Linked DNA regions of Ovis aries. The protein of the gene in region 5 interacts with the protein of the main gene of each other region in a biochemical or structural test. Links are inferred from orthologs where the notes say so. Each region holds a gene or a part of one and is shown on either strand. Other genes may lie near its edges. The genes, in order: UBE2D3, RHOB, UBE2D1, PDLIM7, SMURF1, PLEKHO1 and UBE2M.

The links.
Region 1: the proteins of SMURF1 (region 5) and UBE2D3 form a complex in vitro, tested with the Homo sapiens proteins (15 studies listed by BioGRID, with this or other methods). The link is inferred for Ovis aries from reciprocal best matches to the Homo sapiens genes SMURF1 and UBE2D3.
Region 2: the proteins of SMURF1 (region 5) and RHOB form a complex in vitro, tested with the Homo sapiens proteins (2 studies listed by BioGRID and IntAct, with this or other methods). The link is inferred for Ovis aries from reciprocal best matches to the Homo sapiens genes SMURF1 and RHOB.
Region 3: the proteins of SMURF1 (region 5) and UBE2D1 form a complex in vitro, tested with the Homo sapiens proteins (3 studies listed by BioGRID, with this or other methods). The link is inferred for Ovis aries from reciprocal best matches to the Homo sapiens genes SMURF1 and UBE2D1.
Region 4: the proteins of SMURF1 (region 5) and PDLIM7 are reported together in a solved structure, tested with the Homo sapiens proteins (2 studies listed by BioGRID, with this or other methods). The link is inferred for Ovis aries from reciprocal best matches to the Homo sapiens genes SMURF1 and PDLIM7.
Region 6: the proteins of SMURF1 (region 5) and PLEKHO1 form a complex in vitro, tested with the Homo sapiens proteins (4 studies listed by BioGRID and IntAct). The link is inferred for Ovis aries from reciprocal best matches to the Homo sapiens genes SMURF1 and PLEKHO1.
Region 7: the proteins of SMURF1 (region 5) and UBE2M form a complex in vitro, tested with the Homo sapiens proteins (2 studies listed by BioGRID). The link is inferred for Ovis aries from reciprocal best matches to the Homo sapiens genes SMURF1 and UBE2M.

The regions. Positions count from the first base shown.
Region 1 is NC_056059.1:22,376,607-22,380,106, reverse strand, and holds part of UBE2D3 (ubiquitin-conjugating enzyme E2 D3), read right to left. Parts: intron 3,171-3,500; coding exon of another isoform or gene 3,133-3,170; intron 2,108-3,132; coding exon 2,014-2,107; intron 1,591-2,013; coding exon 1,542-1,590; 3' UTR 1,541-1,541; exon of another isoform or gene 38-1,540; coding exon of another isoform or gene 1-37. UniProt on the Homo sapiens protein: Accepts ubiquitin from the E1 complex and catalyzes its covalent attachment to other proteins. In vitro catalyzes 'Lys-11'-, as well as 'Lys-48'-linked polyubiquitination.
Region 2 is NC_056056.1:28,325,886-28,329,848, reverse strand, and holds RHOB (rho-related GTP-binding protein RhoB), read right to left. Parts: upstream 2,630-3,963; 5' UTR 2,587-2,629; coding exon 1,996-2,586; 3' UTR 501-1,995; downstream 1-500. UniProt on the Homo sapiens protein: Mediates apoptosis in neoplastically transformed cells after DNA damage. Not essential for development but affects cell adhesion and growth factor signaling in transformed cells. Plays a negative role in tumorigenesis as deletion causes tumor formation.
Region 3 is NC_056075.1:305,094-309,265, forward strand, and holds the start of UBE2D1 (ubiquitin-conjugating enzyme E2 D1), read right to left. Parts: upstream 2,801-4,172; 5' UTR 2,607-2,800; coding exon 2,583-2,606; intron 1-2,582.
Region 4 is NC_056058.1:36,698,515-36,702,623, forward strand, and holds the start of PDLIM7 (PDZ and LIM domain protein 7), read right to left. Parts: upstream 2,801-4,109; 5' UTR 2,727-2,800; intron 1,776-2,726; 5' UTR 1,766-1,775; coding exon 1,670-1,765; intron 1-1,669. UniProt on the Homo sapiens protein: May function as a scaffold on which the coordinated assembly of proteins can occur. May play a role as an adapter that, via its PDZ domain, localizes LIM-binding proteins to actin filaments of both skeletal muscle and nonmuscle tissues.
Region 5 is NC_056077.1:37,670,086-37,673,585, forward strand, and holds part of SMURF1 (E3 ubiquitin-protein ligase SMURF1), read left to right. Parts: intron 1-708; coding exon 709-747; intron 748-1,874; coding exon 1,875-1,983; intron 1,984-3,478; coding exon 3,479-3,500. UniProt on the Homo sapiens protein: E3 ubiquitin-protein ligase that acts as a negative regulator of BMP signaling pathway. Mediates ubiquitination and degradation of SMAD1 and SMAD5, 2 receptor-regulated SMADs specific for the BMP pathway.
Region 6 is NC_056054.1:100,234,125-100,238,304, reverse strand, and holds the start of PLEKHO1 (pleckstrin homology domain-containing family O member 1), read right to left. Parts: upstream 2,801-4,180; 5' UTR 2,479-2,800; coding exon 2,449-2,478; intron 1,776-2,448; coding exon 1,629-1,775; intron 1-1,628. UniProt on the Homo sapiens protein: Plays a role in the regulation of the actin cytoskeleton through its interactions with actin capping protein (CP).
Region 7 is NC_056067.1:66,428,870-66,432,866, forward strand, and holds the start of UBE2M (NEDD8-conjugating enzyme Ubc12), read right to left. Parts: upstream 2,801-3,997; 5' UTR 2,270-2,800; coding exon 2,161-2,269; intron 1,034-2,160; coding exon 939-1,033; intron 822-938; coding exon 783-821; intron 671-782; coding exon 567-670; intron 316-566; coding exon of another isoform or gene 261-315; coding exon 197-260; intron 103-196; coding exon 1-102.

The DNA.
Region 1 (3,500 bases), on a different chromosome or scaffold from region 5:
ATACTTCTGAGTCCATTCCCGAGATATTCTGTTGTACCTGTAAATAAAAAAGATGTTATTTAAAAATTTAAAATAATTCTTAATACTTAAAAGGTAAGGAAAGAGTATTTTACTTCTAGACTTATCATGGAGTCATCTTCAATGGCTACAATTAGGATAAAGTCAACAAGGAAGAAAAAGCACTGGTACTCAAAGCACTGTAGGAAACAAGACCATTATGCTTCAATACAGTGTCCTAATCAAAGTAATACTTTCATAAACATACGGATAGGCTAGCAAAAATCAAAGACCTTTTTTCTCTCCTACTACTGACCTAATGGTCTATTAGAAATTTTACAATTAGTATACATTCCAACAAAGGTTAACCTTTTTTTACAATTTGCCATGGACCTATTATCAGAATAGTGCACTTATCTGTAGATCTATAGAAACTCCCATGAAAGCCAGACTGAGCATTTTTATCTGAATCCTGGACTTCATGATAATTTACTTCACCCTGGATATTACCTAAAAGAAAATGCCTTTGAGACTTCAGCACAGGTAGATTAAGACACTGGGGAAGATGATAAAAAAGCAGTAATTTTCAAGAGGAGGTGGGCTGTGAGTTATATGTGCTAATCAAAATCACCTGTTACTTTTAAAGGGTAGTGACTGGCAATTAACAAACCCCACCGAGACCTGATGGATGAAACTAGTAAGGAGTACAAGTGGGGGCATCTTTGTTTAAAATGATCAACAGGTAATTCATACACAAGCAAGGATATTTACTACTGAGGAAGATCACTAATATTGATAAAACGCTATCAATTTCTCCCTGTATTACTACCATGTCATAGACTACTTACCAGAACAAAAATTATAGTGATAACCTTAAGAAAGGAATATCTAAAAGGACATAGGAGAACTGATTTATATTTACAGTTTGACCTCTATAAAAATATTAACTTCATTTCAAACCAAGAACTAAACATAGTTCAACCGTTTTTCTAACTTTAAGTTCTTTCTCTACCAATTCGTGGTTACCTCATTCAAGGATACCTCTCAGAAAGCCAGCACTTTAAAACAAAGGTTTCATTTAGCATACAGGTAGCCACAAAGTATAGCTGACACTAATGCATGCTTGTCAGTAATGAACATTTAGTACAGATAGTGAGGCTTAAAAAAGTGTTTATCCCTTACATTATTATCTCTTGGCAAAATTTTAACTAAGTCACCACATTCCATATAGTATTGAAGTTTAAAATATACCAATTTTAAAAGTTAAAATTTAAATTCTATAGTAATTTGAAAAAGATACTAAAATTTTCATTTCTTACTGGTGCTATATAAACTCTGTTTTGCCATGCAAAAATACTCTCAAGCAATAATGACTGCTGGGTATACTTTCACGCTAAACAAGAGATCAAGCAGTTAAGTGTACAGTTTTCAGAAACTGCCACATCAGTTACCTTTGTTAGTTAATACAGTGCCTTAACGCATGCAGCACTCATGTGCTGGCAGTACCATGAATAAGCGCACCATATTGTGCAGATCCTCTTACCCTACAACATAGCGTATTTCTCTGTCCACTCTCTTGCTAACCTATTGTACCTAATTGAACAAGTATACTGAGCGTTAATTATAACATAAGGAAATTATAATGGTAAAGTTGTACATAAAGAATTCAATATATAAAATATTTAGACCAAATTTTTACAACAGTACCAATATTTTTCTCTTGTTTTAAATGTGATTGGGGTCAAGAAAAAATACCTTTCTTCCTCAAACTTAAAAGTGACAAACTGCTGAACATGTTAGAAAAAGAAAACATAACCTAGTAAATTAAAAAACAACAACAACAAAAAGCCAATCACATTTAAGTAACTAGCTTCTGCACATTTCAACTACCATCTTACCGGAAATAAGCATCAAGTCTCCTTGGCATCATGCCACAACTTACAGCAAAGTATATAATACTAACTCATTAAGAAAAGCCACTTTTTATGTTGTTTTCTCAAATTACTACATACTTACTTATCTCTGTCTGTTTTATAGATCCGTGCAATCTCTGGCACTAGGGGGTCATCTGGGTTTGGATCACATAGCAGTGAACAAATGGATAAAAGAACTGGAAGAAAACAAATGTCTGTTACCCACAACTGGGAATTTGGTTGAATAAAAGTATTTAAAAACAAGTATTATAATATAAACCTCAATCCTCAAAAGAGGATTAGTTTCTATCTTAATTTCCATAAGACAAAGCTTTACAGAGATTTTGATTCATACAAGACAAGCTCCTGGTAGTTAAGAGATCCTAAAAATAGGTATTTGTTAGCTAGTTTACTGACTAGATACAAAAATCTGCCAAATTCAGAAGTTCTGAGATAGTGAAATGCTACTGTATTAATTTATATTACTTTTTCTTTTGCTATGCCACGTTGAATGCGGGAACTCCTGACCAGGGACCGAACCTGTATCCTCTACAGTGAAGTGTGGAGTCCTAACCACTGGACCACCAAGGACTTCTCTCTATGAACCTTCTGAAATAGTCAAGTGGAGTTTCTTGGTAATGGCTGGAGGGAGGTGGGGGTGGGGACTTTGAATAAGAGTACAGCTATGCAATATATGCTTAGCTGTTTAGCTTGATAAAATAATCCATTTTCTGTCCTACTCTCGGGGGAGTTTCACAAAAACACCCAACTGCCCCAATGACTACAGGTTTTATCTCCCAGAATTTATAAGGTAGAGACCATATCCAAGAATTCTGGTTAAATTAAAAAAAAAAAAAAAAAAAACAAAACAACCCACCAAGATCTACTACTGAGTAGTTCTTCAGCTACAGCTCTCACACTGACCTATTCAAAACATTAACTTAAAAGATGTAAAGCATCATTAGGAATATGTATCTAATTCATTGTGAATACGAATTATGTGCCACTGTGCAAAGTTTTATAAAAAGTTTACGACATAAAAGCTTAATGTGGTTATGACAATCCTTGAAGATAATAGCAATACCATGAAAAAAAAATACATTATCATAGAAAATAGAACTTTAAACTCAAGTGCAGGATCAGAAATAAAACTAAATCTGCATTTACAGAAACAGTGTTCAGTATTGCAGTGCATTCCCAATGATGGTAAAACCAAACAAACCTGGAAAATAGTATTAAAGTCTTCTTCATACCAGGTGCCTGGTGTTAAGAGAAAAGAAAAGACCTGAAAAGAAACTTGAATGTATCCAGGGGGGTAAAAAATGGGCCTAAAACAATGCTGCACCTAAAAGAACGACAGCAGCATTTACCCAAATTGTCCCCACTCCCCACACAAAAGTGTTTCTGATTAATCAAAAACAATTCTGGGAATGCTAGACAGTCCCTTCAGAGAGATTCAAATGCACTGTACAAGGACACAAAAGGCTTGATGTCCTGACTTAACAAACGAATGAACAAACAAAACCTGTTTCACTTTGCATTTACCACACTTCTAAATATAAAACTTCTTGTAAAACACTACTAACTATT
Region 2 (3,963 bases), on a different chromosome or scaffold from region 5:
GTTCCACAGCAGAAGGATTGGCTTCTGATTTGGGCTCTCCCCGACTTCTACCCAGGAGCTCAGGTCAGAGATAACATCCTACAATCTCAGGGGGGACACTGTGTAACCCCTGAAGATCTGAAGGGAACCCAGGAACCAGTCTTTGAGACAGTGATTAACAAAAAGTTATCTGAATGCACAAATGACAACTTTCCAAGTTTCAAAGAATAGGATGCACAGGCTACAAAATAGACTTAGACACAGTGTATAAGCCATTCAGACAGTTCACATTAGGTCAAAGGTTGTGGCACTGGGAGCCTGGGTAACCTCTGGCCCTGGGGCAGGAGCAACCTGGTCATCCTTGGCCACCCAATCCCCTCACATCCTCAGAGATTTCATCCCCATTTCCTACAAACACTTGGAGGGAAATAGAGTTAGTGGAGCCTCACCTAGCCGAGTTCTCCCCTTGCCCTCAAATTCACAAGATTTTTACACATCATTAAACCACAGGAGCCATTTTATAAATGTCATCATCATAGTTTTTTTAATATTTTACATAAAAAACTGTATACACAGCTTATAGAACTTTTATGTAAACATCATAAGCTCACCACTTTGTCATTTGTCAGTTTATTTAAAAAATAAAAAAACAAGACAATTTAGTAGAAGTACCACTGGATGGGGGAAGGGAGGGGGAGAAAAGAGACACAAGAGGGAGGTTTATTCTCTGTACAGAGATGCAGAGAAAATTTCACACAGCTTTAGAGACTGCCTTGAGGGAAAAAAAAACCAACAACAAAAGGTTTTAGATAGGCCCTAATACTGGTTACTGCCCTTTATCAAAAGAGTGCGCATACGTGCACAAATAAAATCGCAAAATAGAACAGTGTTGCCACTTTTTTCAAAAGAAAAAAATTAGTGGTTTCTTTTTCTTCTCCTTGTTTTTTAAAAGTCATCATTTTTTAAAAAAACATCAGAAGTAGATGAGGTTACAGCGTACAAGTGTGGTCAGAATGCTACTGTCTTATGCAAATGACAAGTGCATTAAATGTCAAACAATGAAACAATTGTGCAAAGAATTCGTTCCAAAAAGAAGAAAAAAAACAAGTTTAAGCCTTTAAATAAATCAAATAACATCAGTTTCTTGGACTGAACAATTTTCACTTGCAGGACAGGCACAAAGTTCGCTTATGGCAAAAACAACCTGCAGCACACTTCACCCCTCCTTCTCAATGGCTAGTGAGGGGTTCGCCGGGGGGTGGGGGGTGGGGGGGCTGGCTGGCAGGAGACAGGAGTCTGGAAGCTGTGTCCTCTCAGGCCCCAAGTCAGCTGCAAATGTCTTCCCCAGGGGTAGGAAACATGGCCAAGTCTTGTTCGTGCTGGGATGACGCCTCACTCAGACCCGGCTGGAGCTGTTCTAGCGCCCTGTCACTCCACCCACCACCACCATTAAATAACACCATCCTACCTCCGAAAATAAAATTATATCTATATTTATATAACACCCCATCCTCCCCAGCCCTCCCCTCCCGCAGGTCCCGAGGTCTATGTTACAGACAGGGCATAGCAGGCGCTCACTGGTTACAGACGCACATCCGATGGGGCGCGGCCGCATCCCGGCGCCAAGCTCATGTCCGGGGAGCAGGGGCTGGCGTGGGGTGAAAACTCGGCAGCGGGGAGTCGAACATACACACAGCCACACACCCTGAAGAGGCTTCGCTCTTCAGAAAATGGTGTTCAGGGGACCCTTGGCACTCAGTGGGGTGGCCAAGCCTGTGCCACACAGCCGGACGCACAGACACTTGGAAAGGGGGCGCCGGGTGCCTACCACGCGGCCGATTCTCGGGTGCCAGAGCCTGAGTCTCCAGGCCACGGCTGCCGGGGCTGAAAGCAGACGCCAGGCAGTCCGGTGGGGGTCTTTGGGGGGGGCAAGGTTCTCCCCTTCTCCGGGCTCGTGGGGGACGGGCCCGGGATGGGGAGCCGCGCTGGCAGGGGCAGGCGGGTCGGGCGCGGCCCTCATAGCACCTTGCAGCAGTTGATGCAGCCGTTCTGGGAGCCGTAGCGCTTCTGCAGCGCGGCGCGCGTGGCCGTCTCGAAGACCTCTCGGACGCCCTCCTTGGTCTTGGCCGAGCACTCGAGGTAGTCGTAGGCTTGGATGCGCACGGCCATAGCGCGGCCGTCATCCGTGCGCACCGGTTCCTGCTTCATGCGGGCCAGCTCTGTGCGGACGTGCTCATCGCTGCGCAGGTCTTTCTTGTTGGCCACGAGGATGATGGGCACGTTGGGGCAGAAGTGCTTCACCTCGGGCACCCACTTCTCGGGGATGTTCTCCAGCGAATCCGGGCTGTCCACCGAAAAGCACATGAGGATCACGTCGGTGTCCGGGTAGGAGAGCGGCCGCAGGCGGTCGTAGTCCTCCTGCCCCGCCGTGTCCCACAGCGCCAGCTCCACCTGCTTGCCGTCCACCTCGATGTCGGCCACATAGTTCTCGAAGACTGTGGGCACGTACACCTCGGGGAACTCGTCCTTACTGAACACAATCAGCAGGCACGTCTTGCCGCACGCGCCGTCGCCCACCACCACCAGCTTCTTGCGGATGGCCGCCATAAGCGGGCCGGGCCCGGGCAGCAGGAGGGGCCCCGCGAACGCCTCGCTGCCGTCCCGCTCGCCGCTCACTGCTCACCTCGGGCTGCGCGCTGGGGACAAGGGTCGCTAGCTGCACCCAGGTCCCGGGATGGCGCGCGTTCCCTCGTAGTGCTCGGACTGCCGCGGCGGGGGCGGTGGGGGACTCGGGGGCATAGGGCGCACGGTGCGTCTCCGCGCTGCTCCCGAGCGGCGGCCGCTCTCCTCGCCCCTGGTCTCGGGTCGGCGCCTTTGTGAGCAAACGGTGGCCAGAGCAAGCGGATGCGGCCTAGCTCCCTCCTGGATCTCCCTAGGCCTAGGCGAAAACACAAGAGAGAACACGAACTCAGCCCGACTGCGGCGGCAGATGCAGGCTGCGGCCCTAGCGCCCGCTATTTAAAGAGTTCGGCGACTTTCTTAATATAGCCGTCCAATGGGAAGCAAGCCGACTGAGCTCATCGCTGCGGAGCTTGGCTTTGATTGGCCGTCCCCTGCAGCCCACGGGAGGGGCCGGGCGGGCTTGATTGACTGCCCAGGCCGCGGGGCTGGGAGAGGCGGCGACTGGGGAGTTTGCCGCCGCGGCGGGAGCTGCGGGTCTCTGGCTGCGTCAAGGTTCGCTCTTTCTGCGCGCGGGACCGAAGGGCTGAAGACGGCTGCCCGGAGCAGCCCGCGGGGCCTGGGCGAGCGGTTCCGAGACAGGAGGCACTTTGTGGGCGCGTGAATGAGTCTCTCCCACTCGTATTGCCCTGCTTGCTTCGCAAACTCCCAGCGGGTGGTCGGACCTGTAGGGTAGGGAGCGGCTCCTTTAACGTGGTTTTGTTTTTAAATGCACAGACACGCAGACACACACGCACACAGGCTTATTTCCAATCAAGGTTGTGGTTTGTTGTTGTTGTTTTTTCTTTTTCTTTTTTCTTTTAGAAGCAGCCCCTCCCCTTGTCGAGCCTGCCACCATGCTTCCACGAGGGTTCTTTCCCTGGGCCGTGTTTGGATCTGCTAGAGGGTGCCTTATGGGTGGGCCTGGTTCCGGTTTCCGGCTTTAACAAGCCAGTCTCTTTACCGCTTTCTCGGGCACCCAGCCTAAGGTCTCCAGGTGAAGGTTCAGGGAAAGAGGGTCAGTGAAAAGGGAAGGTCGAGGCTGATTGCAGAACTTCAGGTACACTCAGGAAGTAACCAGACAGAAAAGGGCAGCCTCAGTCCTGGCTTGCAGGATTAATTTGGATCCTGGTTTATCTGAAGTAAGTAGTGCAATAAAATCCAACCACCCCACACCCCATTAGGCAAGAATAGGCTGAAGCCCGGATGGGTGGGCTGAGAAACTTGCAGGCTAGAACAGGACAAATTAGTGTGTGTGTTTGAGGG
Region 3 (4,172 bases), on a different chromosome or scaffold from region 5:
GAAAAACTGTGAAGTCATGACCTTTTTAAAACACGCCAAATCACTTCTTAAGAGATTAACTTGGACAAAGCACTCCACTCGAAACCTCAAGCTCCTTCTCTGAACAACAGTGAGTAGACTAGAATGTCAGTCAGTGGTTCATGACCTTTCTTCCACAGCAGCCCATCTGAGGGACTCACCAGCATCTCTCCATTTACAGCAATGGTTCATTCAGTTCAGTGGCTCAATCGTGTCCAACTCTTTGCGACCCCATGGACTACAGCAGTGGGGATGGTCTGAAATGTCCCATGGTTGATTCTGATGTACTACCCTAGAAGCTGTTCCCCTGCCTTTCACTCTTGAAAGTACTTTAAGGTTCTGCACAGTTCCAAAGCCTGCCACTGTAGGCCCAGGAAAATCGCAACCCAATGACCTTATCTGACAGTGTTACTTTAATACATTTTAAAAGAGAGGCCAAAAGTTAATAACATGGATTCTTTTGTTGAAGCACGGAAGATTCAAAAAGAATTTATATACTGATGATATCAAAGAGGGCTCTGTAACTTAACTGTTCACATGGCAAACAGCATACCTCCCCTGGAATTCACTTCTCATCAAGAAGGTAGTAAAGAAAGAGAAAATGTGGGGAATCAAACAAAATACTTCCTAAAGTTGAGAGTGGTCTGAACAAGTGATCAATGGAAAAGAGATCTGTACAAATCACTTTTTTTTGGTAACAGAGAAGGGGAGCCAAAGATTGACACACAGAGATGGGATGCTATGTCATATCCAATTTTTTTTTTTTTTAACCAGACAACTCTGTTATAAACTAATAACTAATAATGACTAAAAATATGATTTGGGTATATGCCATATTATAAATACAAGCCAAAGACATTGGCTCAGCAAGGAGACTGATACATTGCCCAGGACACTTAACAGTGTCCATTTTCTGTGAATGTTCACTTACTGTCGACAAATTTTACACTATTTGAAGCTACTATACATGTAGTCTTGCAAAAAACTCTTACAACTAGGGAAGAAGGAAATGGAATTTTAAGACTTCCTTGGAAAATGTGTGTTTACCTCAAATGTGAGCCAACATTACATCATCATTTAAAAGTACACAAGGCATGGCAAAGATGCTGAGTGGGGTTTCAAAATTAGAATCATGTATATGAAAAAAAGTGTGTAACTGCATTATCTTCAAATCAGAAAACATAGTAATCAACACATGCTGATTTTAGCTATGTGCTTTACCGTGAGAGTAACCTTAACAGGCACAAAAAATAACAGTATTTCTCAGATCTCGGATCATTTGACCCCTCCCCATCACCACCACCACCAAATTGGCTGGGTCAGAAAGTTGCTGTCCTCTGTACCAGAAGATGACATCAATGGTAACTGAGAATACAATGTATACTTCCCTATCACTGCCTTATTGATTCGTGCCAGAAGAAGTTGATAAAAATTTTTTTTGGTAGTATTTCTTCTGAAATCCTTTAGAAAACATGCTGTCCATCTCTGGCTTAACTTGCTGAACGCATTTCTCATTAAAAAAACAAATTCTCAATGTTCTCCACATGAACCATAACAGTAAAGCCTAAAGCTTGTGAAAGGGAACAGACTAAATAACCCAACAAGAAACAAAAGTGAACAGAAAGAAAACGCCCCAATCTCAGGTCTGTAACATGTTCACATTAGAGACGGTAGCAAAAAGCATTCATGAGAAAACAATTCCTTACACTGAGTTGGGACGGAAACATATTTGTTTAATGTATATAAACATTTCTTCCTCATTCTATACCCATGTGTCAAAGCATGGAACTATCTAATTTGTGACAGTTTCTGTTGTGTCTCAAACTTTACATATAAGTTTATCATGGCGAGAAAAAAAAAAAAAATTGCTTGGCTTGACTCACCATGAATCACAGCCAGGAGGTCATCTTGTTGTGTATCAGCAACTATGTTTTCACTACAGCTATGTGACCTCAAGTGGCAGCAGCAGAGGCACCAAAATAGAAGGGGCAGGAGGCTTCTCCTGGTTTCTCGGTCCCAAATGGGCTTTTCCAGCCCATTCGGGCATCTGAGCAAGAGCCAACCGCAGAGGAGAGAAAGAACAAACCCAACAGCTCCGCGGAGGAAGGTTGCAGGCCCACCACACCTTCCATGCCCTCCCGGGAGCAGGGGAAGGCAAAATCATAAAAGAGGACAGGTTTCAGAAACAGCATGAAGAAAGCAGCATGACAAGGGCCAAAGCTAGCCGGGTGTAAGGCAAAATCCAGTGACCCAGCGGCACATAGGTCTGGAGGTCTGGAGACAGAAGCAGCTCTCCTGCCAGGGATCCCCAGGCGCAGCTCCGGCGTGAGAGCACATCGGGCCCCCTGCCTCCAAGCACCTCCAGCACCCGGGACCTGTCGCTGCTCCCACCTCACCTGTCGGGTGCCCGCTGGCCCGCCGGCGTCTCTGGCCCCCGGTCCCCGCCCTAGCCCATCTTCCCTGCACGCTCCCTCCCGGCGCGTCTCTCGGGACCACCACTGGGGTCAGCGTGCGCGGCGAGCCGAAGCCCGCCCCGCTGCCCCAGGCCCGGCCCCGGCACTCACTTTCTGAATCCGCTTCAGCGCCATCGGTCAGGGAGGGCGGCTGGGACACTGGCCGGCGGGGGACGGCTGCAGGGCTCGGGGGCGTGGGGTAGTGCGGGCTCGGATCGCCGGCTGTTCGGCTGGCTCAGCCGGGTGGGTTCCCGGGTCGCTGCTGTCTGGCTAGCTCTGGGCGCGGGTGCCTGCTCTGAGTGAGCCCGAGCGCTAGTGTGCGAGTGTGCGGGCGGGGACGCCGGCGACACTCTTTTGTTTCCGCTTTTGCTTCTGGGAAGGAATCTGCGGCCGCCCGGCCCCGCCCCCTCCCGCCAAGCGTACTGGGAAATGCAGTTCCTGCATCCTACTCGGCCGCTGCCCGGTTCGGAGACCTTCACCCACTGCCAGGTCTGGGTTAGTCTCTGCAGATGGATTTCGATCAAGTAACTGAAACTGGAGTTCCCAACCTGTAAAATGAGAATAACAAATTAGCTCGAAAAACATGTACCGGATTCTAATGTGTGCTACATCTTGTAATTTTTTTTTCATCTTCCCTTTTTCTGTTACCAAATCCTCTTATCAAGAGTTAGAGTGCCCTAGAGTTCCAATCTCAGACCTCTCGCCATTAATATCTTCCTAGACGACAGACCTAGTGTCCTCCCGTAAACTGGAAGGCCACCCAACATAGCCGGAGAAGCGTGGGGTTTGTGGACTGACCCCTCTCTTGGGATGGAATCCAAGCTCTGATCCCTATCCACTGTATGACCTTGTAGCACTTAAATTCTCTAAGCCTCAGTTTCTGCGTGTCCAAAGAAAAATAATCTCCATATATTATTGTAAGAATTAACTGATATTAATATGATGTGCCAAACACACTACCTAATATGTTGAAAATGCTCTATAAAAATTATTTCCTTGTTTTTATGTATATGATAATGATTTTAAGATCTCTCTTTCCAGCCAAACTCTCACCGCAGTTTCAGCATTTCATGTCCAAAAACTTCCTGGACATGTCCAGCCTTCTTCCCTGTGGCCAGGAATCAGATTGTGTTACAAGGCGAGGGTTGGAAGAAAGCTTTCCTGGAAACCCTAAACAATAGCCACCATACCATTCTAAATGCTTACAAAGAGCAAGGAACAAAAATCCACTCAGGTAACTTAAAAGAAAATGTTCAGGGAAATAAGATAGTGAAAGAATGATAGAAATATTAATAGAATCTGAAATTTAATTTAGAAGCCTCTCATTCTACCTTCTCACCACCCTCTACATCGAAAATAAACATAAAAACTAAAACCAGTCTGGAGTCTGACTACTCTCTTATTTTCCTTTTCCTGAGATCTTGGTTCTCTCTGCATGCTGGCCCACCCTCATTTTTCCAGCTCCCCCTTAACTTCTCTTGTACAGGGTATGAGCTCCCACCATCCTTACTCCACTTTCTGACACTCTTCAAGCTACTGTTTCTGCTGCTAAATGGCCAAGCCTTTTGGTACTCCCTATTTATCTCCCTAAAGGGAAGAATCCCATTGACACAATTCATCTTTTTACTTCAGGCTATACATTTTCAGTTAGTGAGCAAAGAATAGATTGACTACTCTTGGATTAGTTTGCCAACCATGGTC
Region 4 (4,109 bases), on a different chromosome or scaffold from region 5:
GGGGCTGGACACCACACGGAGTAGGGGGTGAGTCAGCCTGAGGGCTCCACTGAGCAGCCCAACCCCCAAGTCCCAGACGTTACCTCATCTCCCAGGCCTGGGCCTCCAGCCAGCCCTAGCCCCTCCCTCTCCTCCTCCATGCTAGGGTCAGGAGAGAGGGAGGGGGCCCAGCCCAGCTCCGAAAAGACCACCCTCACTCCCACCCACCAGGGCCTAGGTCCAACTCCAGGGCTGGGCTCAGCCAGTGGCCCCACCCACATGCTGGGGCTGCTGACAACAGAGCCCAAGCTCAGAGTGCCCCCAACAGGCCACATCTGAAAGTCCATCCCTTAGGCTGCTTTGTTGCCCATCCCCACCAATGAATAAACTGAGGCTCAGAGGTCAGCCAAGCTCCCAGCCACACTGACCAGCACTTTCTCAGGAAGTGGAGTATAGGATGAGTTCCCAGAGATGGCAAGGCTTGAGTATTATGTATGGGCTGGGTGTAAGTAGTAGGGAGATCAGTGCCCTTAGCTACCTTGCTGGCAGAGCAGCTTCCAGGAAACCCCGTGGAAGGGTCCCTTGGAACAGTGACTGCTTGCAGGTCCTGGCCACCAAGCCCAACTACAACAGACTCTACCTTGGGGCCCCCTCAAGCTGGGATCTCTAGACCCCTCCAGGCTAAGCCTGCCCTGGGCTTCATGCCAACAGCTGCCCACCAGGAGCCTGGGTGTGCCTCTCTGGTCAAGGGGATATGGGGACAGAAATCCCCGCCCACTCCTGACCCCCAGACTACAGTCAAGAGACACCAACCCAAGGGCTGGCCTCACCCTCTCAGGGCAGGCACTTTGTTCTCCGAGTCCCACAACTGATCCCACAGTTGTAGCCACAGCCTGATGATCGGCTGAGGGGCCCACTGATGGGGTTCAGGGTTCCAGGCCTAGGCCAGCCTTCTTTAGTTCTGCAGACTCCAGCCACCAGTTGACTATCCCAGCATGGGGCTGCATTCTTGGGCTTATAAGGCAATCCCCCTGCCACAGGGAGGAGCCAGCCTCCAGCTCCACCCCCACCAGGACAGGCTCTCAGGAGTTGAAGTCAGAGCCCTAGATACCCAAACACCACTGCATCCTGAATGGAACCAGTGAATGGGATAAAAGTCCTCACCTGGGCTGGGGAGAAGCAGAAGCACCTTATCCACCCACAAAAACTGCAGGCCATCCCTGTGTTTGAAGCCCCATGCCTGCTTTGCCATGGAACTGATGAAAGAGTTCCTTCAATGAGTCTTGAGTTATCTCATCTGAATAAACAGGGTGGTAGTTGCTATTCCTTAGGTGGCAATGAGGATGAAGTGAGCTCCTGCAGTCAGAGTGCCCTCCCAGGGGCCTAGCACCAAACATTGCTCCTCAAGCAGTTTATAGATACTTCTTGGAGACCGCAGGTTCACCTCCTGAAGAATGGGCACACTCCTGAGCCTAGAAGGTGCAGTGTAGAGCTGTGGAAGTCTGAGGGCTGCTCCCTTCCCAGTATCTACCGAGTTGGGAGTCCTTGTGGCAGATGCCCACAGCTCTGGACCTGGACACCTCCTGGTCTGTGACGTCGGCTCATTCCTGCTCAGACTCCTCCTGCCGCCCACTGGAGATCTGAGCACCCAGAGACCCCCAGAGGAACCCTTCCCTCAACCTAGGCTCACCCGGGAGATGGAGAGGGGTACATTGAAGTCCTTGCCCCCCTGCAGCCGGAAGCCCCAAGGTGCTGGCCCCTCCAGCACCACCTTGAAGGAATCCATAGTGCTGCTCCTGAGAGGAGAGAAAAAGTGAGTGATGCACAGTGGGTGCACAGGCAGGCCCTACTCTGGACACCAGCCTTGGACTAGCGCCAGGCAAGCACTGGCAGACGCTGAGCACACCCAGGGGGAGGGTAGGCGGGCACCCTGTTAGGTCGCGCTGGGCTGCTAGCTGGCAGACTCACTTTGGAAAGACAGGGGCAACCCCCCTTCCCCAAAGGACTGGGGCGGGGGGTGAAGGGAGCCCGCATCCACTCATAAGGTTCCTCTCACCCAGGAGTGGACAGCAGGACTACTTTGGCATGACTTCCTTCCCAGCCAGTCTTGAGCCTTGGTCTGGACAGCAATGCCAGTCCAGGGCCGGCACTCCTCTCCCCCGCCCCCAGGTCCCCACAGGCAGGCCTCGGCTGGAGCCTGCTCGGACTATATAAGGCGTGTAAACTGACACTGTTCGGAGAGAACACGGGGGCTTGGGCCGCGAGGGGGAGGGGTGCGGAGGGAGGCGGCTGGAGCGAATCCTAGCCATTCCAAGCCCAGTCGAAGCTACTGAGAGCCAGGGCAGGACCCCTGGGAGCGCTGGGTTCTGGGCGGGGGCGAGGCCCCTGGAGGGAACGGTGGGGGCTGGGACTCCAAAGCACGGTCAGGAAAAAGATTTATCCTGCAGCCCAGTGAGGGTGGTGCCTCCCACACAGGACTGCTACCATCCCAACGTGACTCAGTTTCCCCCTGGGCCTCCGCCTGGGCCCCAAGCACTGGCCGAGTCCCAGGCGCAGGAAGCGGCGCAGGCGCCAATCAGCCCCGCCGCAGCCGGCTTCGCCGCAGGAAGGCGGGGGCGGGGGTAGGGGCGACGGCCCATCGGAGGAACTGCAGAGCTGGCTACGACCCCCAGCCCCCTCTGTGGTCCCCATTAGGCCTCTGCCCCCCGCCTGGTCCGGCCCGAGATGCCCCGCGCTGTCCCAAGTACCTCCTGGGCCCCACCGGGGCGCTGCTCCGCGGCGGGCTCCAAAGAGCCGCGCTGGGATCCGCCGCCCGAGTTCTGACCCCGCCCCCGCGGCTGCCATCCGCTTTGAGCCCGCGTAGGGGGGCGGAGCCAGATGCCCCGCCCCCTCCAAAAGTCGCGGTCGCCCGGGCAGTGGGAAGCCCTACCCAATCCTTCCGCCCCACCCAATCATCAGGTCCCATCTAGCTTTGGGCTCTAAGACACAGCCCTCCTTGGTCCCGTCGGTGGGGCGGGGCCTGGACGGAGTCTGGGCGGGGTCTCGGCTGCTGGACACCTAGTCTGGGAGCCTAACCCTCCGCTTTCCTGGCCCTTTGCGCCTCCAGCTGGCTGAGTGAAAAGAAAGTCTACTTGGGAACCAGACAGATCTGGATCTGAGTCGTCTGTGAACCTTAGTTTCCAACTCAGAAAAATGGGACAATACTACTCGCTTCACAGGGCCGTCGTGAAGACAGGCACAGTTCGCCGTAAGGTACAGCCATCGGAGGCTCCAGAATTTCTAAATAGGACGGATTTGGTGGAGAGTTGGTGGTGGTGGGGGGGACCTCGAGGTGGGCTTAGTTGAGGAGGACACGGGGGAGCATGAAGTTGTTTGCAGAACATTCCACCGAAGGCAGAAAATGACAGTCGACACAGGTGTAGGGACCCTTGGCTCTGGCCCCAATCGTTACTCATTCCTGACCTGTTCCTACCACCGACCCCTCGCAGTCAGCGGCCAGCAGCCCAGCCACCCCACCTAAGTGCTGACTGTCTTGATGAGGTATGTCCTGCTACCCGCTCCAGAACCGGCAGCGCCTCCATTGAGGGTGTCAGAGTCCCCAGTTTGACCCAGTGCTCAGCCCAGGCGGCTAGCTCAGGCAGCGGGGGAAAGTGAGCAGGGATCCAGGTTTGCGAGTGAGTGAACAGATGTCCACGCCTCAGGGGATGGCCAATGCTGTTCTCCCCTCTCCACTATTATCATATTTCATCCTCTTCTGCATCAGTCCCTTCACTACATAAACTGATGTAAGAGTTCTCATCTTTAAATAAATTTTCTCTTGATCTCACAACACTTTTCAGCAATCTCTCTCTTATTCTTCTATTTTCCCTGAGGGTAAAATTCCTTGGAGTTGTCTATTACCCTTCCTCCCCGTTTTTCCTCCCATTCTCTCCTGAACTCATTCAGTCAAGCTCTTGTCCCCACCAGTCCTCTGAATTAATTCCCTCTTCAAAAGGTCTCTAATGATTTCCAGGTTATTCAATCAATGGTGATTTCTCAGCTTTCCTCTTTCCTTACCTAGAAACAGCTCTGGTCAGGGTATACTCCCTCTTCCCCGTGGCTTCATCCTGTCCCACTGACTGCTTCTTCTC
Region 5 (3,500 bases):
GAAGATACAGACTCTAGGTCTTCATTTCAACTGGTGTCAATGTGATTCTGGCAGTTTTAAGAACACATTGATAAATCCACCCATGTATGTTTAAGAAAGATTTTTAAGTTTAAACCATTTTGCATTTGTTACAGTTGATTTCTAACTGAAGGAGAACACATTTTCTAGTTACTTGTCAGTTTTTTGTTTAATGTAACACTTAATTTGAGATACAATCAATGGCAAAGATAATTTTGAGGTTTTTTTTTTTTCTTCCCCGTTGCAAATATAGGCTAGCGCCTCAGCCAGTTTGGGCCACTAGCAAAATCCCATCGGCTGGTGGTTTACACAGCAAACATTTATTTCCCATAGGAGGCTGGAAAAGCCTAAGATGAGGAGGGGCTAGATTTGGTTCTGGGCCAGGGTCCTCTTGCTGCCTTGTAGATGGCCACCTCGTGCATCCTCACATGGAGAGCCGAGTGAGGGCGTGTGCTATGAGCCCTTCTTCATAGAGACAGGGACCCCCCATCCTGACAGCCCCCACCCCCATGACCCCAGCTAACCCCAAGCACTTCCCAAGGGCCCCACCTGTGGATACCTTCACATCAGGGCCTGGACCTCCAACATACGAGTTTTGGGTGGGATACAGTTCTGTCCATAGCGACTGACTATGGTGAAAATCTTGTCCGTAAGTGCTAACTCTTGCCTTTTTTGTTTGTTTGTTTTCAGTATTATGTGCCAAGAACCTTGCAAAGAAAGACTTCTTCAGTAAGTAAACACGCACTTTTGCTCTTTCACTATTGATATTCTTCACATATTTCTGAAATTTAAAACTTTTTCAAAAAACACTGGGTGTATTCTCCTAAAAGAAAAGAATAGAAGCCCATGGTTTGACAAACTTCATTTCCCAGTTGACTACGGCACAGAGGCTCCTTAGCTCCAAGGCACAGAATTTATAACTCAATCAAGAAAAACTCTCTCTCATTCCCTATTCTGGCCACACCGTTTTCTCTGCCTTTCCATCCATTAATATATCGCTTTCTGCTGAAGTGTTCTCTACTCAAATACAGATGAGACATTTTTCTATAAAGCATCTGAGTTTCAGTAAAACTGATAGTCAAATTTGATAAATTAAATCACACTTTAAAAGTCGTGTAATGAAAGGAATTGTAAAAATAAAAATAATAAATAGAGAGTCATTTTCTTATGAAAGGAATCGCCTCTTAAGAAGCTCACCTACTATAAAGTAGGTGCCCGGAGCAGGAAAATTTTCACACTCTTTCTGATCCTCACCAGAATGCTGCTTGGTTCCTAAGTGGTGTGTTATTCACACTCTCAGGTGAAGAAACTGAGGTTCACGGGCTTTATTCAAGGAGCTAAGAAGGTGCAGAGGGATGGATCCCATCCAGGTCTGTCTCTCAGACCTGGCCACCTCTCTGATCTTATAAACCTGTCTGATTCACACTCCAGCATTTAAGAACCTACCTAATGAAAATTTGGTGAATACTGCTTCCAGAGATAAAATAGACAAAGACCAGCAAACACAATGTCTAAGTATTATTTTTTAGAAAGTACAAATACATTTATTTGTAGACACTTTTTCCTCCATTCAACTAGCAGTGATCTTCAGAAATAGAAATCTGAATTTAAGCCTGTTTTTAGAGTTTCATTACTAGTGTCTAAAAATCTGAGGAGGATGTCATTCTGGGCTGCTTTTCTTAGAAAGCTTAATGGAAGTAACTTATTTTGCTGATCGAAACTGACCTTAAATTTGAGAATGAAAAACACCAGGATAGTTGGGTGGTCTTGACGCGCCCTTTACCTGCGGGACCATGTTCTGTGTCGCATTGACAGACCTGTCATCTCATCCAGTGTGGCTGTCCCCTCTCCTCCAGGGCTCCCTGACCCTTTTGCAAAGATTGTTGTGGACGGATCTGGGCAGTGCCACTCAACGGACACTGTGAAGAGCACATTGGACCCAAAGTGGAACCAGCACTACGATCTGTGAGTCGGATATCCTACAAGGCACTTGGGAGTGAGAGGAGAGGCTGGGTCTAGCTTGTAAGAGAAGCATTTTTTTTGAGAAAGGGATCACCAGCTTCTTTCTGGTAACACACGTGAATGGCCGGAGACCCAGTGCCTACTTTTGGAATTCATACACTTGGGAGTTCTTGCATTTGTTTCCATAGATTGTTCATGGTTTGCTTCTGTAACTGTGATCTTCAAACATTCAATCTCCTGGCCCTCTCTAACAGGAAAAAGGGGCTATAGTTCAGGTCCTCTATATGCTACTGTTTTTTCAGCAAAACCATGAGCATAGTTGTAAAACGCATCATTTGAAATGCATTATTATACATATTTATTATGTTGTTCTTGTTGTTTAGTCTCCAAGTCATGTCTGGACCCCATGGATGTAGCCTGCCAGGCTCCTCTGTCCATGGGATTTCCTAGGCAACAATACCGGAGTGGGTTTCCATTTCCTTCTCCACATATTATACGAATATTTTATACACACACACGCACATACATATATATGCTGATTTTAAAAATTTTGCTTAGATGGTAAAGAATCTGCCTGCAATGTAGGAGACCCAGGTTTGATCCCTGGCTCAGGAACATTCTCTGGAGAAGGGAATGGCTACCCACTCCAGTATTCTTGCCTGAAGAATTCCATGGGCAGAGGAGTCTGGCTGACTACAGTCCATGGGGTCACAAAAAGTCGGACACGACTGAACAACTAACACACTCATATTTTTTGCAAGAGCAAAGAAAGTTTGGTATGAGTGACTATATATAAGCCCACTCGCCATCTGACAACTTCTTGTATCCAACCATTACCTGGATTGCCCTTTGAAAATCACTATTTTATCTTCACCTCTGTTTTCATGTCCTTGCTGAGAAATTTTTGTCAGGTAACGCTGAATGATTACTGCTTTGTTTTACCGCCACACCACAGACTGTGCTGGTTTTGAGCGGGTTTTTAGTAGCTGGATCCTGAGGCCCATTTTCAGTTACACTGTGGCACAGGAGTGGTCTGGAAAGCGGTTGTCAGTCCAAGTCCTGGAAGCCCCCTTGTGGCTGACCTGCCCTGAGAGGCGGGGGTCTCCTGTCCAAGCTCTGCTCTTGCGTGTGCTTTGGGTGGATGGAGGGTTTGTAAGGAGTCCTTTGTTGCAGACTGGCTATTCTCTATGCAGCCTAATTGGTGGGAGCTTATGAATCCTGCCATTATCTTTGGAACTATTAAGATCTAGTAAATCCCTGTTACAAGGTTATCATCAGCATGTAGTTATCTCCATGTGCTGCTCAAATAATCAGCTGTAGCCCTTTTGCCACCGATTGAAGTTGGTAGACAGATATTCATCGAGGGCCTGTAGTTGTACATATAGAGCCAACATTATTTTCAGAGAATTCTCCTGGACTAACAAGTCAGTCAGATAGAATCAATGGGCTGTTGTAGTATAGAAATGCAATTAAAGATGAATTTGCACTTTGGTTTCAGATATGTTGGAAAAACGGATTCT
Region 6 (4,180 bases), on a different chromosome or scaffold from region 5:
CATTCTTTCCCCTATCTCAGTACCCCTTCCTCCACAAATAAGGGTCCATCACACTCTTTCATCCCCAGACTGTTTTTTAGATTGGTACAAATAAGAAAAAAAAATGTCTTGTTCCTTCTACCCTTTCCCTGATCTCATGTTTTCCCCACTGACGTGTGGGAAGTTCTCGCCGATTGCTCACTAGAGTTTCCTGCCATTATGAAGTTCAGGGAAGGCAGGAGATACACTTGGACATTTGCTTTAAAAAAGAAAAAAAAAAAACAAACCACAAACCTAGAAAGTCAGCAAATTGTGGGGGGGAAAAAAAAAACCTTGGGTAGGATTTAGGGTTGGGTAGAGGTGACCCTTAAAGATAAATTCTCCTGTCAAAGTGTTTTCTCACCTCATTCCAACACCAAGTTCTCAGCTTAGTGTAAACAGCAAGGTTTAAATACCCTTAAGAGGGATCTCTTTGGCCCTGGCATAGCTTAGTTCTTTCTTAGCTGCTTCGGTAGATGTTCTGTTCAAGATGAATACTTTCTCCAGGACTGCCTGTGTGTCTTGTTTCAATACCATAAAAGGATTTATTTACCTAAATATAGTCTAAGCAGAAAGCAGAAGAGGTTAGAACTCAGGGAGGACTTCCCAATTAGCCCCTGGTGAGGGAACTCAAACTCACCAGGCAGGGGAGGGCCATCCTACCAGGGGAACTCAGGACAGTCTCCTAGGCAATGCTGACATAGTCACAGAGATAGGTACTGGAATGACTTCTAACCCATGGAGGGGCAATTTTAGTTTCTCCACATTCCTATGTGTTATTGAGCCCAAGAATTAGGGATAAAACAGAGAAGAGTTTGGATTCAATATGTGGGCTCAGGTTCTGACCCAACGTGGACTATTTTCATTGTAACTATAGACCCAAAGACACAGAGACATGCAGGGGTTCAAAACTCCACTCTCCCTTCTGTTATAATTGGCCGGGGGTGTTGGGTAGGAAGGAATGGAGAATGAGTTCCTCGCTTCTTTGTTTTTAAGTGGAGTGGGGGTGGGGAACAGAGAACATGTTAATTAAGGACACTGGCTTCAAGAGAAATAACTGCCACTTACAAATACTCTACCTGAGGTCATGTGAGACTGCCTCTGGATTGTAAGTGTGTCTTCTGTGATTTGGAGCAGCTGTACTGCTGATATGACTTGCGTATGTCTCTGTGAGAGACAGGAAAGGGGAGGCTAGCTGGGCTGGGGGGCAGGAAGGAGGGAAGAATAAGCTGAACAGGGTGTTTCAGCAGCAACAGCAAAGAAAAAAGAATCCTACAGTCAGCTCGAGGCCAGGATAGGGGAGAGTAGGGGACACTTAAAGAGTTTTGGGGACATCTTGGGAGGGAGTTATCATGCTTATCAGAAAGGTATTTTCAAAGGAAAATCTTTAAGTAAGATGCAACTTCTAATTCTAATTCGGGTCTTCTCACTGAAGGGCGACCTTTCTCTGCAGGTAAGATGGGGGTAGAGCCAACCGGACTGCTGAACTCGCTTTCGGAACAAAATCAGGAGTGCGGTAAGGGGGAGACGAGAAGTACATATAAGACCCCTTCGGAAAGACCAGGTCAGGACTATGAGAAAACTGGGTAGTTCGCGGCAAGGGCACCTACCTCCTTTTCAGAGATGTAGAGCTGGTCCCCTTTCAGCACCACGTAGCGGTTTTTCCAAATCTCCCTGAAAATCCCTTTCCCGCAGAATTTCCGGACCCAGCCGACCTTCTCAGGCGGTGCACACTGATGGTTTCCATCCTGAGGCCCCTGCCCCCGCGAGCCAGATGAGAATCGCACGGTTAGGTGGTTCCAGCTTTTTCCTCCTCGCGTTCCGTCCTCGGCGCCCTCCCGAGTCCCCGGTCCCCTCCCCGCGTCCGCCCCGCCGCAGCTGGAGTCGGGGAGCCCCGCGTTTGCTCCCCACTTCTTCAAACCCTTTCACTCCAAGGAACTCGCATCCCTATCGCTCCCCTCCCCCTTCTTCCAAATAAACAACTGGAATTGCCCGTGCCAGGGGTGAGGGCCGGGCTGGAGACGAGGGGTGGCCTTCGGGGCTCCGCCGGGCCCCCCGCCCCCTCCCCCAGCTCCCCTCCACGCCGCGCCGGGGTTTACGGCATTTTATTTCTCATTGTCTTCTCGCCGCTGCAGAGCTTGGTGCCAGCGGCCGCCCGCCGCCCGGGGAAGGCGAGGCCGGGGGTCGGGGCAGAAACTCAGCCAAGTTAGCCCCCGGCCCAAGTAAACAAACAAAAGCCCCCGCGGTACCTCGTCGCGGGCCCGGCGCACCGAGGCCGAAGCTAAGGGACCGGCGACCGGGCCGGGCTGGAAGCAGGGGGCTGGCGCGGCGTGTCCCCGGCCCCCAAGCCGGCCGCCCGCGGCTCCGACGGGGCCGGGGTCCTCGGGGCACAAAGTCAGCGGCGGCCACGGGGCGGGCGGACGTACTCACCCTCTTGGTGGAATTGTTCTTCTTCATCATTCCGGGCTGCCGGGCGGGCGCCGAGGGGCGGCCCCGCGTCGGGGGCCGAGGCCGCTTCGAGGGGGCTCCTGCCCACGGGGAGGGTGCGCAGAGGCCCCCGGCGCCGCCGCCGCTCCTCCCTCCCTCTCCCGGACTCTCCCCTTCTTTGTAGCTCCGGTTACACTAAAGGCCGGCCTCCCTCGCGCTCGCACACACACGCACGCCTGCTCCCCGCCCCTCGGCGCCCTCCATCCCGGCGCCCACGCGGCCCGGTCCCCCGAGCGCGCCCCCGCCGCCCGCCAGCCCGGCCCGGCCCGGCCGCTCCCCCGGCCCGGCGCGATGTGGGCGGCCCAGCCCGCGCCCCGCAGCTCCATCCACCCGCCCGCTGACGTTGCGAGTTCAGAATAAAGGGCGAATCGCCGAGCCGGAGAGAGTGCGCTCCCCCCACACCCTCCTTTGTTTCTGACTCACTGAGGGTGAAGAAGACAGACCTACACCCCGCCGGGGAACGGCGTCTGGGGCGGCGGGGGCACCCAGACTCGCACTGACGGCCGGAGCGAGAGGTGGAGCCTGAGACGACCGCCCGGGCCGACCTGCCGAGAGAGCCGGCAGGGGCCGATGCGGCGGGTGATGGAGACACAGGCAGGTTCATAAAGACCGGCGATAACCTAGATTGAGATCGTCTCCCTCCCAACCCCCAAACAAAAACAAGAGCGTGAGCTGGGAGGGCGTGTTACCCAGGACTGGCATCCGGAATTCACACGCCCTAGGTGGTGGAGTAGTGGTCTGGGCAGGTCAACTGTTGGGGAAAAGTTTTATGCTTCGGAGGGTACCGATGTGTAGGGGCTCCCCGCGGAAGAGAACTCAATACACATTTCTTCCAGTTTACAAATTATTAGGCCTTATTTGAGCCTCGGGAGAATAACCTTATGTATGAGGTAGATATTATGACCTCCGTTGCATAGAGAGAAAAGTGAGTACAGAATTTGCAGACACATTTTAAGTGCTGGAAGGAATAGAATTCTTGTCTCCAAAGCTCTGATCTGTTAGACCTAGTGGCTTTAAATATAAGCACCAGGTCGTGAATCTGAGTGAACTCCGGGAGTTGGTGATGGACAGGGAGGCCTGGCGTGCTGCGATTCATGGGGTCGCAAAGAGTCGGACACGACTGAGCGACTGACTGAACCGAACCGAAGGCTTAAACATCCTGCTATCTGGTGTCTCTCCCTAATGCACTGACATGTAAAAATTCCACCCTGTCTACCACAGTGCCCAGAGGAGGCCCTGGCTGGAGGAAACTGCTGATCACTCCTAAGCCAAATCTGCCTCGGAGCCCACACACCAACATCTTGGTGACTTCCTTTTTCCCCTCAGTACACATTTAATGGGAAGAGGAGAGAGGGAACCTACTTTGGGTACTGGTTTCATCACTGCTCTGTGGCCTTTGGTCGAGTCGCCGAATTTCTTTGGGCCTCAGTTCCTCTGTAGGAACTGACTGCCAGTTCCACCAACAAGAAAGACAGGGGAAAACATGAGATGACCCATGAAAGTCCTTTCAAAATACAGTATTGCCCTCTAGGGCTAATTACTAAATAATAATGAGCTAACGAACACACTGCCTGGCATATGGCAGGCACACAGAAACTTCCAAATGAATAAAAATCCCTGGCACAGAGGAGTAGAGGAGAACCTCTTTTTCAGAGATGTCTCAAGATTAAAAAAA
Region 7 (3,997 bases), on a different chromosome or scaffold from region 5:
ACCACCCCGCATGGAGCGCTGCACATTCTGCTCAAACAGCCTCCGGTTGTTCTGCAGGACCTCGGCGGCTTCCTTGTTCAGTGGGTCTTCAGGGTTGGGCTCCTGTGGCCGGTATGGGAGGGGCAGGAGGTCAACAAGCCCAGAAGTCAGAGGGCCAACCTCCCCCAGCTGCCCTCCCACCCCCACCCCTACTCACCAAGAAGAGATACTGCAAGCCATAAATTATGGAGTTTATCGTAAGGACTGGCTTCCAGTCCTCTCTGTGGGCAGAGAGCATCATGATAGGGGCTGGTGAGCGGGCAGCCACCACAGGCCCTGCTGGGACCAGACAGGTCAGGCCCAGGGCATGGGACAGCACGATCGGGAAATGCTAGCGGGAGGGTGCAGAGAAGCACAGGCCAGAAAGCCAAGGTCAAGCCATGAGGAAGAAAACGCAGAGCTGAAGAGACAGAGGGACACACAGACCACAAGGGGAAGGGAAGGGAAAGAGACTGGTATAGTGCAAGGTCATGAAGGGGGCCTGGCAGGCAGGGCTGGGCAGCGTAGTGGAGGGCCAGTGCCCTCACCTGAGGATGTTGAGGCAGACGTTGCCCTCGAGGTCAATGTTGGGGTGATAAACCATCGTCTCACACTTCACCTTGGGGGGGTCATGCGGGTAACCCTGGCCCACCTGGCTCCAGGAGAAGAGAGGGCAAGTGGATAGGTGCACAGCAGTGCCTGGCTGGGGCCTCAGCTGTTGCTTCCTCAGCCCAGGGAGCCACCCCTGCACACCTGAGACTCACCTTAAAACTGAACACAAACTTCCCGCTCTTGTAGAAGCCCTGTGAAGGAAGAGGAGAGGAGTCAGAACCCCACTCTGCAAGGCCCGGCAGGTGAACCAGCCAACTTGAGGTGGTGTCACCTGCCGTGCCTGAGAATCCAGTTAAGCGTGCCCTCACCTCATCAGGACAGATAACCAGCTTGAAGTTGAGGAGGTCGTCTGGATCTGAGAAACTGATGTCACACGTCTTGGGCAGATTCAGCTCGTTTATGTCTGGGTTTTCACAGCAGAGAAGGGAAACAGGCCAGGAAAGGGGGAGATAGGGGGTGCTCAGAGCAGGTGCCAGCAGAGCCTCCATAACCTCTACCCAGGACCCCAGTTCTGTCCTGGGCAGTGGGCCACCCCCTCCTCCCTCTCCCTGCTCCTTCTGCTCCGCGTCTCCAGGCAGGCTCTTCCGTATCTATGGAACACTGCAGATATGCTGGAACTCCTGGGGGGCAAGCTCTAACTCTTCTGAATCCAGTCGTAAGTCCCCCAGCCCAGCTCCTACATGTTCCCACTCCTGTGTGTCCCACCCCAAATCCAGCATCCTGACCGCGACCTCCGCTTTCTAGAGGAGTCTCTACTTGTCTGCGCAGATGCAAGGATCTTATTTCCCTTCCTCACCCTAAATCACCACCCCCCCCAGTCCCTGGCCCCCACTGTCCATACACTCCTCTCTGCTTGTCGTCCTAAACTCAGGATCCCATCTGACCTCCAGATCTGTGAGTTCCCAAGCCTCCTACCCTATACTATTCTGAGCATAAGAGTTCCAGCATCTCTAGCAGGATGGTCTAAACCCAACCCTACTCCTATCTCTATAATCCCTGGTACCCAGCATCCCTCCCTCCTCCTGTCACCCCAAACTGACATGTGACTCACCCAGACCCACGACACCCAGGCCCCAGAACCCACTTCACCAGGTCTGACTCTGATTCCCAGTGACTCTAGCGTTAATACACTAAATCTCCCACCCCGATCCTCAATCCTCGGCCCCACTGTCCCTATCTCCTCTTCCTGTCGCCCAGGTTCCCATCTGACCCCCCGACTCTCGAGTTCCCGGTCTCCCTCTTCCGCTGCCACCCTCAGATTCTCGGTCCCTAGTATCAGACTCCTAGCTTTCCGAACACGCTCAGTGCCCCCTGCTCGGCCCCCCTACCTCCGACCACTTTGGTGATTATATTACCCCATCCCCGGCCCCTCGGCCCCCAGGCCCTGGTCTCCGATCCCCACATCCGCGGCCTCCCCGTTTCTGACACCTTTGACCCCTGGCAGCCGCATTACTCCACACCTGACTCCCGTATCACCCGGAGCCAGGCTCTGACCTCCGACCTCCACTCCCATCCCCCGACTCCCCTTACCCTTCTGGATCCGCAGCTGCGCCGCCGACGCCTTCTTGCTGCTGCCCTTGGTGCCGCCCGCCGACTCCTCCTCCTTCTTCTGCTGCTTCAGCGAGAACAGCTTGATCATCCTGCCGCCGCCGCCGCTGCCGCCGCTGCGGGGCCCGGGACCCCGGCCACCCGGCCCCCCGCCGCCGCCCGCGCCGCCTCCGCCACTCGGACCCGCCGCCGCGGCCTCTCCGGCTGCTGCCGCCGCCCGCCGGGCCTGCCGCGCTGCTCCGCGCCCACCGCGCGGCCCGCGTCGGCTCCCGTAGTCGGCTCTGGCCTGGCCCGGCGCCTCGGGCCCGCTCGGCGGCGTTCGGGCCCGCTCGGCTGTTCTCGGGCTTACTCGGCCCCGCCCCCACCCGCCGCTCCCTCCTCCCGGCCGTCCGCTCCGGCGTCCTCAGGCTCGGCTGCGGACGCGGGGTCCTCAAGCCGTGTCCCTGGGCCTGGTCACTCGCTCTCTTCGCGAGGGCTCTGCGGCTCGAGGCGGAAGGGGGAGGCGGGGGCTGCGATGGCCGTGCACTAGACAGGAGGGCCGGCTTCCGTGGCAGCAGCGGCTTCGGCGCGGAGGTCCGCAACGGCCTCGGGCGCCCCACCGCTTCGGCTATTTCCGTCGCCTGCCCGCTTCGGCTCTTCCCGCCCGGCCTGCGCTGTGCGCTTGCGCAGCCGCTGCCACCGCCCCACGTTGCTCCGCGCTGGGACTTGGGGATCGGGCTCCTTCGGCTTGGTTCGGGTATTTCCGTTCGTGCGGGCCGGGCCGGTCACTTCCGGGGACGCCCGCGAGTCCAGGGAGGAGGGGGATGGCGGTGTCGCCGCCATATTTAAGTGGGGCAGATGCAGGCCGCCTCACTTGCGGGCCGCCATGCCCACTCGCAGTTGTGCGGACGGCGGCATAGACGGGCCAAACAAGGGGCTTGACCCCAGGGGCCACAGACGGAGGCAGGGTTAGAGTCAGAGCCTGAGCAAGGCCAGGAGCGTGGCCTAGAGTGCATGACTCAGAACCTTCGGGGTCCCATCTCAGGCTCAGAGAACCCGCCTGCAGAGTTTGGTTGAGGTAAACTAGCAAATAAAACGTGTCAGAGGATAGTATAACACTGTGGAGGTTTACACGGGCTCACACGCTTGGGGGCAGCCCTCCGCACGGGTCTAGAGTTTGCCCGCAGGCGACCCCCGGCCTTCCGCCATCTCCGTCCGCGAGGTGGGCGGAGCCAGCCTCCCCTCCAATCACAGCTCAGCGTGCGTTGGAAGGCGCGAGCAGGCGGCGCGGAGCGGTTCTGCGACTTCAGGCTGTCACCGAGGACTCCGTCAGGCGGTGAGCGGCGCCACGAGGGCTGGTCGGGGCGGGGGGCCGGGCCCGGGGGGCGGCCGGGGCTCTGCCCCTGAGCCTTCCCGCGACCGAATGAGGCTCCTGCCGCACGACCCACCCCGTCGCTGAGGCGGCGTGCCGCCGTCTTCTGGAGCACAGTGGGAGTAGTCCGGCGGCCCAGTTGGGCCCGCGCTAGTGGTGGGCCATGGCCTCCTCTTGGCTACCCCGGCCCGATCCTCACCCCAGAAAGTAACCTCCACCTTTTCGGGCCGTGATTTGGCGTCCCTGCCGACCCCAGCCTCCTCTCGGGTACCCTCGGCGTCCTTGGGCTCCGTGGTCTCATATCCTAGTCGTGGCTGTTGCAGCCGTTCCCTTTTTCTCCCGCTTGCATTCTCTTTCCTCCATTCCAGAAGCCCCCCTTCAACCCTCTGGTCGTCCTCGCCCCAGACTGCCGGCTTCGTTGATTTCCTTGAGAGCTGTGTGCTGGAGAGGTGCTGGGGTGAGGCTAAG